3 linked regions of the Rattus norvegicus genome follow. The protein of the gene in region 1 purifies or fractionates together with the protein of each later gene. This does not show direct contact. Links are inferred from orthologs where the notes say so. Each region holds a gene or a part of one and is shown on either strand. Other genes may lie near its edges.

The links. Proteins that work in one complex are often made in the same cells at the same time.
Region 2: the proteins of Arhgef12 (region 1) and Vapa purify together in Homo sapiens (affinity purification with mass spectrometry; 5 studies listed by BioGRID and IntAct, counting the BioPlex papers as one, with this or other methods). This does not show direct contact. The link is inferred for Rattus norvegicus from reciprocal best matches to the Homo sapiens genes ARHGEF12 and VAPA.
Region 3: the proteins of Arhgef12 (region 1) and Gipc1 purify together in Homo sapiens (co-immunoprecipitation; 4 studies listed by BioGRID and IntAct, with this or other methods). This does not show direct contact. The link is inferred for Rattus norvegicus from reciprocal best matches to the Homo sapiens genes ARHGEF12 and GIPC1.

Annotation. Positions count from the first base shown.
Region 1 is NC_086026.1:52,369,577-52,373,786, reverse strand, and holds the start of Arhgef12 (rho guanine nucleotide exchange factor 12), read left to right. Parts: upstream 1-1,410; 5' UTR 1,411-1,506; coding exon 1,507-1,538; intron 1,539-4,210. UniProt on the Homo sapiens protein: May play a role in the regulation of RhoA GTPase by guanine nucleotide-binding alpha-12 (GNA12) and alpha-13 (GNA13). Acts as guanine nucleotide exchange factor (GEF) for RhoA GTPase and may act as GTPase-activating protein (GAP) for GNA12 and GNA13.
Region 2 is NC_086027.1:112,651,932-112,655,988, reverse strand, and holds the start of Vapa (vesicle-associated membrane protein-associated protein A), read left to right. Parts: upstream 1-1,257; 5' UTR 1,258-1,488; coding exon 1,489-1,567; intron 1,568-1,766; exon of another isoform or gene 1,767-1,963; intron 1,964-4,057. UniProt on the Homo sapiens protein: Endoplasmic reticulum (ER)-anchored protein that mediates the formation of contact sites between the ER and endosomes via interaction with FFAT motif-containing proteins such as STARD3 or WDR44.
Region 3 is NC_086037.1:41,381,143-41,385,129, reverse strand, and holds the start of Gipc1 (PDZ domain-containing protein GIPC1), read left to right. Parts: upstream 1-1,187; 5' UTR 1,188-1,225; coding exon 1,226-1,513; intron 1,514-2,204; coding exon 2,205-2,390; intron 2,391-2,484; coding exon 2,485-2,665; intron 2,666-3,302; coding exon 3,303-3,415; intron 3,416-3,987. UniProt on the Homo sapiens protein: May be involved in G protein-linked signaling.

The DNA.
Region 1 (4,210 bases):
AGATCCTTTCTCTACAGCCTTTTCTGGCTATCTGCCACCCCCTTCTCCTTTCTGCGGGGCGAGGCCAGCAGGTGCCCCAGGTGAGTGTCCCATCCCCAAACCTGTGTGTGTGTGTGTGTGTGTGTGTGTGTGTGTGTGTGTGTGTGTGTGTGTGTGTGCTGGTTTGCCTAACACTGTCGGGGCCGGTGGACTTGGACTTGTATGCAGTCATCAAAAGCATTTGACACCGGGAACGAATACATTCTCTTAAAGAATAAAAGTTTCCAGCACAAGAGGGGCGGGGAGTTCCCGAAGACCCTCTAGACGTGAACTCCTCGAGATTGTGGAATGGCTCCTCCGCTGTCCCGAGTGGAACCTATACTGTTGACTGCACCTCGAGAGCATTCAAGGATCATGAAGGCAGGGGTTGGTGGCGGAGGAAGAAGCCACCCGCTTCGCCACACAGAACTACTTTTTCGCTCCCCTCTATCCCCCGCGACAGTGCTGCGCGGAAGCATCCGCGCAAGTTTGGAGAGTCCGGGAAGCGGAGGGATCCCGCGTGAAGCGGCTTCCCGAAGTCCCAGGGAGAAGGGCCCAAAAAGTAGGTGGGGGAGGGGACGGCTAGGCGCGCTCCAGTCGCGCTGGGCCGAGGGGACAGAACCGGAACCGGAACCCGCGCGCGCGCCCGCAGCAGTCGCAAGGCTCGTCACCGCCGGCGGCCCCCTCCGCCCTGTGCGCGCTCCCGCGAGTGCCCCTAAGACCGGGCGAGCGGCCCTGCGCACCGATCCTCCGCCGCTGCCCCCGCTGCTCGGGGGCTGGGCTTCCGGGCCGGGCCGGGACCTCCCGCTCCTCGCGGGAGCCGCCGCCTACCAGAGCGTCGGGGAGGAGCCGCCGTGCCACTGCGGAAGAAACGCGGGGGCCTCCGAGGGATGGGGAGCTGCCCCGGGCGCTGAGACAGGGTCCCTGTCAGCGAGGCGGCCGGAGCCGGGTGGGGGCGGCGCGGAGCAGCTCAGGGCCTTCGGTCGGGGGACATGGGGCGGCGCGAGCCCGGCGCGGGACGGCGCGAGACGCGGCGGAGGTTGCGGCCACGAGCGGCCGGCAGCCCCAGATAGAGCCGGGACCCGAGGGCCGGGCCCCGCCGACTCGGGACAGGAGCCGACGCCCGTCCTCGAGCCTATTCTGCCCCAGCCCCGGAGGGATCCGGGTTCCCTTCCTACGGCTCGCGACTTCCCTCTGTGACGAAGTTTTCTCCCGGTGCCTTCCTGAGGATCCTTCTTAGTTCTTGAGCTCGCCTTGTGGCCGACTTGCTCGGTTTGTTTGGGGAGATAACTTGTTTTGCTTCAACCCGCATCCCCTTTCCTTGACCCTTTGCAATCGGATGTTCTAGATGACTGAATGGAGTTTTGAGTTGGACTTTTGTGTCCCTGCCGAAATTGGGCCTGATCCCAGAGTACTGGGGGTGGGGTGTGGAGGTGTTACTGTAAAATGCAAGTTGGATAAAAAGAAGACCTCTCGCCAAGGGCCCCAATGAGTGGCACACAGTCTACTATCACGGACAGGTGGGTATGAAGTTCCTCCGTTGCTAACCTTTCCTGGATTCGGCCCCACGCAGCAGGGGAGTCGGTGATTGCAGATCTGCCTTCAGCTAGTGCAATTGACAGGCATAGGAAAGAGGGTTGTTTCGGAGCTGTGCAATTAGTCTAGGGTTGCTGCCAAGTTATCCGGTTGATTGAATTTGGAAATGCAGTTTTTCGGGAGAGAAACTTTCCCCCATATTCCCAGAGGAAATGAAGGGAAACCATGATTGTGTTTTTTTTTTTTTTTTTTGGTCGGGTGCATTAAGATCGTGTACTCATTTTGGAACCAGAGGGAGGTCATTTTGGGTGAAGGTCAGTGCCTGAGGTCGGTGGGGATCGGTGCATGATCGGGTTGATTCCTGTGGTAGTTCTAGCCTCAAACTTTTAGGAGTTTCTGTCTGTGGACTTATATCCTGCTGCATGGCGATTGGTGACTCTGATCTCTTTTTACGTGTTGACCTGCACAGTGTTTAATTATTAATTACCTAATTTTCCAGAATGTTGACATTACCAGTAAATCACGGGTTCTTGCTGGGGACAGTTTCCAGGAGCTAAAGGAAATGAGGGAAAATCATGGGGCCTGCTTCTAATTATTCCTTTTTTTTTTTTTTTTTTTTACATTTCATCTTCCAGAAGCCCTAGCATTTAAAGATGTAAGCCCTAGGTCTGGTTTAGGTATGGCAGGTGGATCCTGACAAGGTGTTGCATGTAGAGCATGTAGTCCAAGTGTACTTCTTTGACTTAAGAGATCTGAGTTCTTTTCAGTGAAAGCAAGTTGGTTCCTTTAGCATATTTTTATTTCTCGACTTAATTATGACATTGCATATTACTTCCAAATTTTATCCTGCTTCTTTATGTCAACCTTCAAATCGTTGTCACAAAACAAAACAAAACAAAACAAAAAAGCAGATAATTGGAGCAGAAGGCCAAATGTCTTCAAGAGCGACGTTAGTGCTCCTGCGGGGAGCAGTTCAGTTTCCTAATGAGAGAGGCTCACCCAATTGTGCGTCTCATTTGTTGATTTTTAAAGGGCCAAATTCCATTATCATACCATAACAGCTTCTCCAGAGACAGAACTTCCTTTTCCTGTTGATGCTTTCCAGTGTCACATGAGTGTTCACCTAAAAGATGCCCCTAAATATTTAAAGGACTTATGTTTGCCTTTTGTGTACTTTGTTGGGCAGGATTTCATTTCAGTTTTCCTGCTAATACAGTTCACTTCTGTATAGAGACAGTTGGCACGGGTCTTCCTGCCACCCTACTCCCTCTCCTTTCGAGATGTCCCGCTTCTGAGAAATCACTCGCAGGTGTCCAGATAACCGCTCTGCTGGTTCACTTAGTTCTTGTCTGTCAGTTGAGCCTATAGTTAAGCAGACTTACCAGAAGCTGATGGCAGTCCTGGTTTTTATTAAGATGTTGCAGAGTTTAATTTGTAGAAAACAGAATTTAGAGTCATCGAATCATTCCACACAAAAGTCATACAAAAGCACCCATGGAAGGATTGTTTTTTTTTTTTCCCTCCCTAGCTTTGTTTCTGGGGGATTTTTGTTCTCGTATATAAATACGTTGGACATAAACATTGACATTTGGGTCTTTTGCTTTTTAATAACTTGATTCGCTGTTAAACAGTTCGTTAGTAAACATTGCAGAAGTAAAAGTACAAAAGTAAGTCTTAAAAAACAAATCCCTGTCTGTTTTATTGGTCATGTGTCTGAGTGTGCAGGTATGTGCACCTGAGTGCAGATGCCTTCAGAGGCTAGAAGAGGCTTTAGGATTCCATGGGTGGTTGTGAGCTTGCCTACCCTGGGTGCTGAATATCTAACTTGGGTCCTCTGACCACAGCAAGAACAGTGTGTGCTCCTAACCGTTGTGCCACCTCTTACCCATCCCCATCCCCCCTTCTTAAGGCTTTGCTGTGTGTTACTTGTAGCATGGCAGTCCTCCTCCTGCCTAAGCCTCTTGAAGAGGTGGGCTACCTCCCTGCTGGATTCTTGCTCTTAGATATTTATGTGAGAATGGTGGACGCACATTCTATGGAGTCAAGCGTTGGATCTGCCTCCCTTTCCCCAAGACAGGGTTTCTCTGTGTAGCCCTGGCTGTTCTTCTGTCTGTAGACTAGGCTGGCCTTGAACCCAGAGATCTACCTGCTTCTGCCTTCTAAGTGCTGAGATCAAAGGCATGTGCCACCGCTGCCGAGCTTAAGTCTTTCATCTTTTAACACAGGGGAACAAGTTGTATTGGTGAAGGGGAGCAGTCTAAATACATTAATGCTTTGTGGGGCTTAGGCCCAAATAACTCTTCATCATAAACCTCTACTATGTTGCCTCAGACAGCTGAGCCATGTAAAGTAAGATCCCGGAAGGTTTATTTCAAAACTGTTGGAAATCCTGCTTTCTGTCGGGCAATGAAGTTTGGTGTCTTTTCCCCCCTTTTAAAAGAGAATTACTAAGTGACCACTACTTTTTCTTTTCTTTTCTAAACTTAACTCTGTAACTATACATCCGCCCTTTCCCTTTAAGAGAGTAATAGCTCCTGGTTTGAGTGTACGTTGAAGTGAGATCTGGAAGTGCTGGTTTAGTCACACTTACGCCTTAGCAAAGTTCTTCCTGTAGACTCCAGCTTCTTCTCAGCCCCAGGTACATCTCTTCCTACCG
Region 2 (4,057 bases), on another chromosome or scaffold:
CAAACTTTTTTTTGTGATCAATGTTTTATACCACAATTTTATATCCTATATACCCAGGGTGGCATAAAAATTTCTCAGGTGACGGGACGGAGAGTTGAAAAAGTTTAATTAGCTGTATTCTAGACTGCCCATTTTCGACATTTACTTTCCAGACAGTCTAGGATGCCTTTCCGTGGCAGAAGCATCAATACGTGCTTTGTTTCGCACGGAGCTTCCTAGAGATTTAAATTCAAGCAGTACCATAGGACACAATAAAGGTTTATTTTTACAGCACATCCATTTGTTTTGTTTGCTCTTCCCGTCCCTGGATACCCTGGCAATGAGCTGAATATCTGTCAGCAATTTGCTTGGCAATTTTTCTCATTTGGTATAGGCTCTCCTAAGTGATGCAGATAAAATTCGTCCCTAGCACGGCACGAGAACCAGGCAAACAGATTTGGAATGAGCCACACTGTAGATACAGCACGTGAATTCCACGCCGTAGGAGCAGACATTTGGTTTCTACCCTTGATTATTTGTGCCTGGCCTAGATTTCCCCTGGAACCCGTTTGCTTTTGCGCGAGGTGTGTTTCCCTTTGCTGGGCAGGAGGGAGATCCGGGAGGCAGCTTTGGAACGGCAGGGTTAGAACAGAGCGCGCGTCCGCAGAGGGCGGAAGGAATCCCGGGCAGACCAGACGGACACGCCCTGCCGCTTTCCCAAAGGGCCGTCTCTCCTGGGATGCCTGGCTCCCAGGCAGCCTGCAAAAACCCTTTTCTTTTTCCAATGCAGACGAGACAACCTCGGCGAGCCAAAAGCAGAGTCAGCGGCCCCACCCACTCGCCTCCAACGGACCCGGGTTGCCTTCCCGGTTCCCAGCAGCCCCCGCGGAGACGCCGCCCGCACGGGGCATGCTGGGAGTCGAGGTACCCGGCACTTCTTGACTGTCTTCCGTTCGGAATTCCACTTGGAACGCTGTGAGGTAGCATCGTAGTCGGCGCTACAGCCCCGCATTCGCAGCTCCAGGGCGCCAAGAACGACGCCCCTCGCCCGGCGCCGCGCACCCCGTCTCCCACAAACAGCCCTACTACGCCCCCTGCACGCTCTACAGAGATTGACAGCAGCGCGGCGCAGGGAGCTGCGGCCAAGTCGGAGGTGCGCAGGCGCACTAGCTCAGCGCCGAGCCCAGTTAGGCCCGGAGGGCGGGGCCAACACGAGGGCTCTGGGCCGCGGGGGCGCGCACGGAGACACGTAAGGCCGTCACGTGGGGAGCCGAGGATCGCAGTGCGCGTGGCCGCGGCGACTGGTGTGGGGTTGAGTCAGTTGTGACACCCGGAGCTGCTGACCCGACAGGCAGCCCTCGGGACCCGCGGCCCGGCAGCAGGCGCGGAGCTTCGGGAATCGTGAGCCTGGCCCCGTCCTAGAGCTCCGCGGAGCCGGCGCCGCCACCGTCCCCCGCCCCCGCCAGCGAACCGCCGCCGCGGGCGCGCCCCCGCTCTGCGCTGTCTCCTATGGCGTCCGCCTCCGGGGCCATGGCGAAGCACGAGCAGATCCTGGTCCTCGACCCTCCTTCAGACCTCAAATTCAAAGGTAGGCTGGCTGGGACGCGCCCGAGCGGGGCTGGGGCCGGCGGGCGGCGGCGGGGTGGACGGGCTGCGCTCCCCTCCCCCACGCCCGGACCGAACGTCGGAGCCGCGGCTCCGCTGCGTCCCTCCGCTCGGCGCCTCGGCGTCCGCCGCTGCCGGGCCGGGCTGCGGAGGGGAGGGGAGGGAGCCGGACGGACGCCGCGGAGGGCTCTGCCCGGAGCCGCCGCCATCTTGCGGCCCACGGGGGCGCCGCGGGAGCCCGCCCGCGCCTTGCCCGCCCGCCCGCATGGCGTCCTTGCCCCAGGGCGGCCGCGGCGCGGTCCAGGCTGTGCGAGCCGGAGGCTGGGAGCAAGAGCTCCGGGGTCTGCGGGCGCCAGCGGGCGACGTTCCGCGCCTTTGGGTAGGCACGGCCCGCGGGCGAGGCGCTCAAGACCGCGGGCTTCGCCCGGAGTCTTCCCTGTCAGGTGCCGGACTCTGTCAAGCCGGGAGACCCAGCAGTGTCTGGCTGGGACTGACCCCGAGTGTTGGCACGGCCCCAAGCGCGCGGCAGAAAGCTGTGCGTCAGCTGGGGCATGCATGGTCGTAGGTTAATGGGAGTGGGTCCCTTGGGTCACGTCGACTCGTCCTTAGGTACGGAGGACCCAGCCCTTGTGCTCCTAGTCCTTGAGTTCACACTGTCTTTTTACTGAAGACGACTCAGGGTCTGTGACCCTCTTACGTTTGCGGTTTCCCAGCATACCCGGAGAAAGCTGATAAGGTGCCACACAGCTCTGGAACTGTTGACTTTGGAGCACTGACTGTGATAGACAATCACTGGTTTGGTGATCCTTGTTCAGATCCGAGGCCGTTTGCCTTCTCAGTGTGTAGGAAACGAAAAGTTATACAGAACAGTTTACTGCATTTTAAGGAGCTAAAAAGAACACGTGCTTCCTATCTTTAAATGAAAAGTGCCCCCCTCCCCCTTTGGAAAGTTAATACCTTGCGTTTTAATTTCAGCAACTGGTGAAAACAATTTCCCTTAAGCGCATATCGATTCCAGTAGGAAAAGAAAAAGTAAACCCATTATAGTAGTGTAAAAGTGAGTCCACATGAAAATAGCTGAATTGTCCTTGTAGGAACAATTTAAAATAGTTCCAGATACTTAAGACTTTTATATTTTAAATAGTTTAGGACTTAAACATGTGGTATTCTGCTAGTAGCATGCCCTGCAGGCGTTTCAGTACATTCACAAGTTCCTCCGTACTAGACAAGAACTTGATTGTGATTTTAAGGCAGTTTTAATATGCTTGGAATTGGGTCGTGAACCACACTTATAATCCCGGCATTTTGGAAGTTCAGGAACCACCCAAAGTTTGAAATAAACCTGGACTACATGTGAGACACTTGACAGTGTCTCACCCTCCGGTATTTCGAGTGTATTTTGCTGCAGCAAATTTCTGGTTGCTTGATTTAAGTTTTTTTGGAGGGGAGTTGGGCGGAGTTTGCTGAGAAGTCCTCAGAGTATTTGTACTGTAGTAGCCATCATTAGTGGGAGCGATTTAATATAAATCTTGACGATATTCTGTGTGGTTTGCTTTCCCCCTTTTGACAGTGTAGAGCAAATTTTCCTTACTGCATAGCCATGTGTGAAAGGTATTTTATGAGGCAGGTTTTAAAAACCACCAGAAATTGTGCTGTATTCATGTAGATCACTCATTTTTGATATTAAATAATTACAACCGTGTTTATGCAACAGGCTCTGTGTTACCAAAAATCCCAATGCTGGTGGAAAAGGCATGTAAATGATACCGGGGCAGGAGCACGTCTGAAAGAAGCTCTTTTCTGTAGGAAACTCAAGGAAAAGGCTCTTGAAGTTGCCTGGGGAAAGTCATGCAAAGGGAGTGGTTGAGTAAATCGGAGTGAGATGAGATGCATAGACTCCAGTCGGTCAGACTTGTGGAAAGGTGGGAGAGATGGATATGATAGGGAGAGGTGCAGAGGGTTGAAGTGAGGTTTGCTGCTTTTCTCCTTAGTGTTACTTTGTCAGCCAGAGGTAACTTGGTACAGTGGAAGCCTCTGTATTTCAATGCACAGCTTTACACTAAGTAGGGTGATTTAGAATCCACTGTGCATCTTTTGGTTGACCATATCAAAAATTATTTAACTGATCTTTACATGTCTTTCATTTAAGTATAGGTTGTTTATACATTTCATTTTGCAAAATTACTTGATTGTGTGCAAGGTTTATTTGAATTATTTGGATTCAACAGTGGTTTCTTCAGGAGTGACTCAGCCATTCTGAGATTGACAGTTTTTCTTTAATATGAATAATGACTTGATAAGTGTTATAACTTTGTAGTTTACTTCTCATAACTAGTAATATATATATAAGTCTCTTGATTGTAGAATAAATTCTAAAGCAGACCTTTTAGAGCATAAAAAGATTCATTAAGAAAATTTTTGGTTGCTTAAATTCTAGCAATACTTTAACCAATAATTTAGATTTGAAATTGGA
Region 3 (3,987 bases), on another chromosome or scaffold:
ACAAGGGCATCTTTCCTCATGGTTTTTTGTTTGTTTGTTTGTTTGTTTTTTTCTTTTACATAAACCAGACCCAAACTTGGGTTTTGCACAGAGCATTAATGACTGCAACTGATAGAAAATGAAAAGACACTGTGTCTGGTGGTTTCCATCTGCTCCAACACTGCAAGATGAACAGAGGTAGAGTTGGTGAGTTCTAGGCCAGCCTGGACGACAGAGTGAGAGCCTTCTCAGAGAAATGGAAAGTAAAGGGCCATCCAGCATTTTATCTTCCCTTCAGTTGTCTGCTCCAGTGGGTGTGGTCAGGGCAGGATGCACCAACGGCCTCATGCCTCATCCAGAAGGAGAATTGAACGAGGTCACAGAGCAGCGGGTGTGGGGTTGTAATGGGTATCTCTGTGGGGATTATTACTGTGCAGTGCGAGGCTTCATTCTGATGCTGGGATGAGACCGGGTCCTCATTAGCACGTGCTCCACCACTGAGCTGCACCCCAGCATCGGAGCTATCTGGAGTCACCTCTCTTCGTTCACATCAGCTCTGGGTGCCCAGATTGAATCCACTGTATACAGAAAATACTTGGGTGAGGCAGATGTCCTGCTATTTCCCTGTAATCCCATCCACTCTGCAGTCTGAAGCAGGAGGATTGCAAGTTCAAGGACAGCTGAGCAACTGAGAGATAACTGCCTCACACTAAAAAGTAAGAGGCAGTCTAGACTTGTAGCTTGGGTCCACATGCACAAGGCCAAAATGGCCGATTCGGAGAGAGCCTTGTACCTATGCTGACCATGGACAGAATCTTGTGTTGTTACTCTTCAGACAATACAGCGGAAGAAGAGTTTGCATAGCTTTAAATGTGTACAGCAGATTCCACTGTACGGGAGGAGCTGCAGCTCTGTGGACAAGCGCCAGCCAAGCAGGGGCGATGAAAGCCTCAGCAGAACGCAAACGCAACACAACGTTATATAGGCCGCAATGTGCTGGAGGTGTCCTGGCTCCCTGTGCTTGGGAGCCTGAGTCACGTGATCAGACACGGTGGGGTTCGGTGGTGGAGCACTTGACTAGCACCAGGCCCCTGGGTTAAGAAACATTGCTTCGCAAAATAGAACCATGTTGGTTGATGTCGATACCATGTGGTGGTGATGGATGGCACCCAAGGCTGGTACTCAGAGAGTGAAGCCCGATTCCCTTTCGCAGGTCTCCCGGCCAAGTCCCCACTTCTGGCTGCTCATGCCACTGGGACTGGGGCGAAGGAAAAAAGCACCACCTCTGGTGGAAAATGAGGAGGCGGAGCCAAGCCGGAGTGGGCTGGGCGTCGGGGAGCCCGGGCCCCTGGGTGGAAGTGGAGCAGGGGAATCCCAGATGGGTTTGCCCCCACCTCCTGCTTCCCTCCGGCCTCGCCTCGTGTTCCATACCCAGCTGGCCCACGGCAGCCCCACGGGCCGCATCGAGGGCTTCACTAATGTCAAGGAGCTGTACGGCAAGATCGCTGAGGCCTTCCGACTACCGGCTGCTGAGGTACCAGTGGGACCACGGTCCCTTAAGAGCAAGCCACAGGCCTGGGCATGTATTCCTGTGAGCTGGGGCTCGTGTTCCTTGCTGGCCAGCAGCCCCTGAACCTAGGAGGCGTGGCTACAGGAGGATACTGAGTTCCTATGAGGCCTTGAGAGACTTGTACCCTAGTAGGTATGGGGGGGGTTTCCCAACGGGCCTTACGAGGCTCGTAATCTAGTAAATTGTGGGTCTGCAGATACTGATTTCCCATCAGGTCTGAAGTAGCCTGTGTCCTGGAGGATGACAGCCACAGGTGGCAGCTGGGTTTCCAAGGCATTGGGAAGCTTGTGCCCCAAATACTGTGGGACCTCAAGAGGGGGAGGGAGGGTGTTAGGAGCAGCTTCTATTTCTCCAGGGTGCCCTGGAGGCATGACTCCAAGCTAGAAGCTGAGAAGCCACTGGGAGGGCAACAGTGGGACTGAGATTCAAGTGGAGATGGGTAGGAAGGCTGGGTGGGAGTCTAGACCCCCTTCACCCCTCAGTAAGTATCGAGTGATCTCTGTATGTCAAGCTAGCTCTTGAGCTTTTACCAGGACAGAAATCCTGCTCATAGCATTTGATGTGCCAGTGGACCTCTCCTTGGCTTTGGGTGTTACCAGTCCCTGGGATAGGGGACCCAGGGAGGAAGGATGAGCATCTTGCCCCACCTCTGCAGGTGATGTTCTGTACCCTCAACACCCATAAAGTGGATATGGACAAGCTGCTGGGGGGCCAGATCGGGCTGGAGGACTTCATCTTTGCCCATGTCAAGGGGCAGCGCAAAGAGGTGGAAGTATTCAAGTCTGAGGATGCTCTGGGGCTCACCATCACCGACAACGGGGCCGGCTATGCCTTCATTAAGGTGCCCGGGTGGGTGGCACACCCTTAGTCAGTGGCCAGGGTCTTTAATGGGACCTAGAGTGGAGCTTCCAGGGTTGATGCCTGCCCCTCCACAGCGCATCAAGGAAGGCAGTGTGATTGACCACATCCAGCTCATCAGCGTGGGTGACATGATTGAAGCCATCAACGGGCAGAGCCTGCTGGGCTGTCGGCATTATGAGGTTGCCAGGCTCCTCAAAGAGCTGCCCCGAGGCCGCACCTTCACCCTCAAACTCACCGAACCTCGGAAGGCGTTTGGTGAGCCATTCTTGCAACCTGGACCACCCACCGGGCTGACCTTGAGCTCTTAAGAAATACAGATTGTAGTCCTGGGAACCACCAGCAGGTGGCACTCAAGCCTGCAGTGCAGAGTGGGGGCAGCCCCACCCTACCCTAGAACTGAGTGCTGGCTGACAGCCCAGCCAGAAGGAAGTCGCCCCCACACCCGACTTCCAGGAGCCATTAGCCCAGCCGAGTGCCCCCAACCCTGGCCAGCCCCCTCAGCCTGGAGAAGTGAGGCTTGGCTGCCTTGTATGGCTCCTGTGCCCGGCGCCCCCCCCCCCCCCCCGTTTCTACCTGGCTTCACTAACTCTCAGGAATGGGCCTGAGGCACCCCTGATGTGGGTAGAAAGGGCTTATCTGAGACTCAGCAGTTACACTCACCCTTCTCAACCCTCACTCCTTCAAATAGAAGCTACCTTCCATTCTCTCTCCAGCTGCTTTTATGTCTGGCCCCTAGCTGCCCCTCACCATCCATGCAAAGTCCTGCCTTGCTGGAACCCAGTCCCTACCCAAGGAGCCTGCAGAACTTTGAAGGTGGTGGGAGGTGGTTGTGTGAAGCCTGCGTACTGTGTTACCGTGGGCTGATTTTCCCCACTACCTTTGCCTTCTACAGATATGATCAGCCAGCGTTCATCAGGTGGTCACCCTGGCTCAGGCCCACAACTGGGCACTGGCCGAGGGACCCTCCGGCTCCGATCCCGGGGCCCTGCCACAGTGGAGGATCTGGTGAGTGAGCCCCCCGGGCCGGTGACACCATTCTAATTATGTGAAAGGCTCAGGACACCTCTCTCTGCCTAAGCCTACTCTTACCAGCTCTGGGACCTACGGTGGTCCATCGGGCAGCCTGGGGTCTCCTCCCTGTCCAGTAGGTTCAGTGACTTCTTGTCAGAGCAGACATTAGCGATGTAAACAAAAAGGGCTGCCAGCACGGAATTTCTGGCAGGAGGATTTCACATTCGCTCAAACCGTAAGACCTTGTCACCAGGTTCTTATATGAAAATAGATGAAAGGCAGCCCAGTGTAGATACGTACCCATAATCCTCTCCAGGCTACTGGATAGGAGTTAAGTGTTCAAAGCCAGTTTGGGCAACTTAGAATATGTCTGGGTATGAGAATGGTAATTTCTGGATGTTGGGACTGAAGAGATGGGCTTAGCAGTTTATAGGAGGTGTGGCTCTTGCAGACCACACAGGTCAGTTCCAAGTGCCCATGACGGGTGGCCATCTCTTAACTCCAGTCCAGAGGTCCAGTGTTCTCTTCTGACCTCCACAGACACCAGGCAGACACATAGGACACAC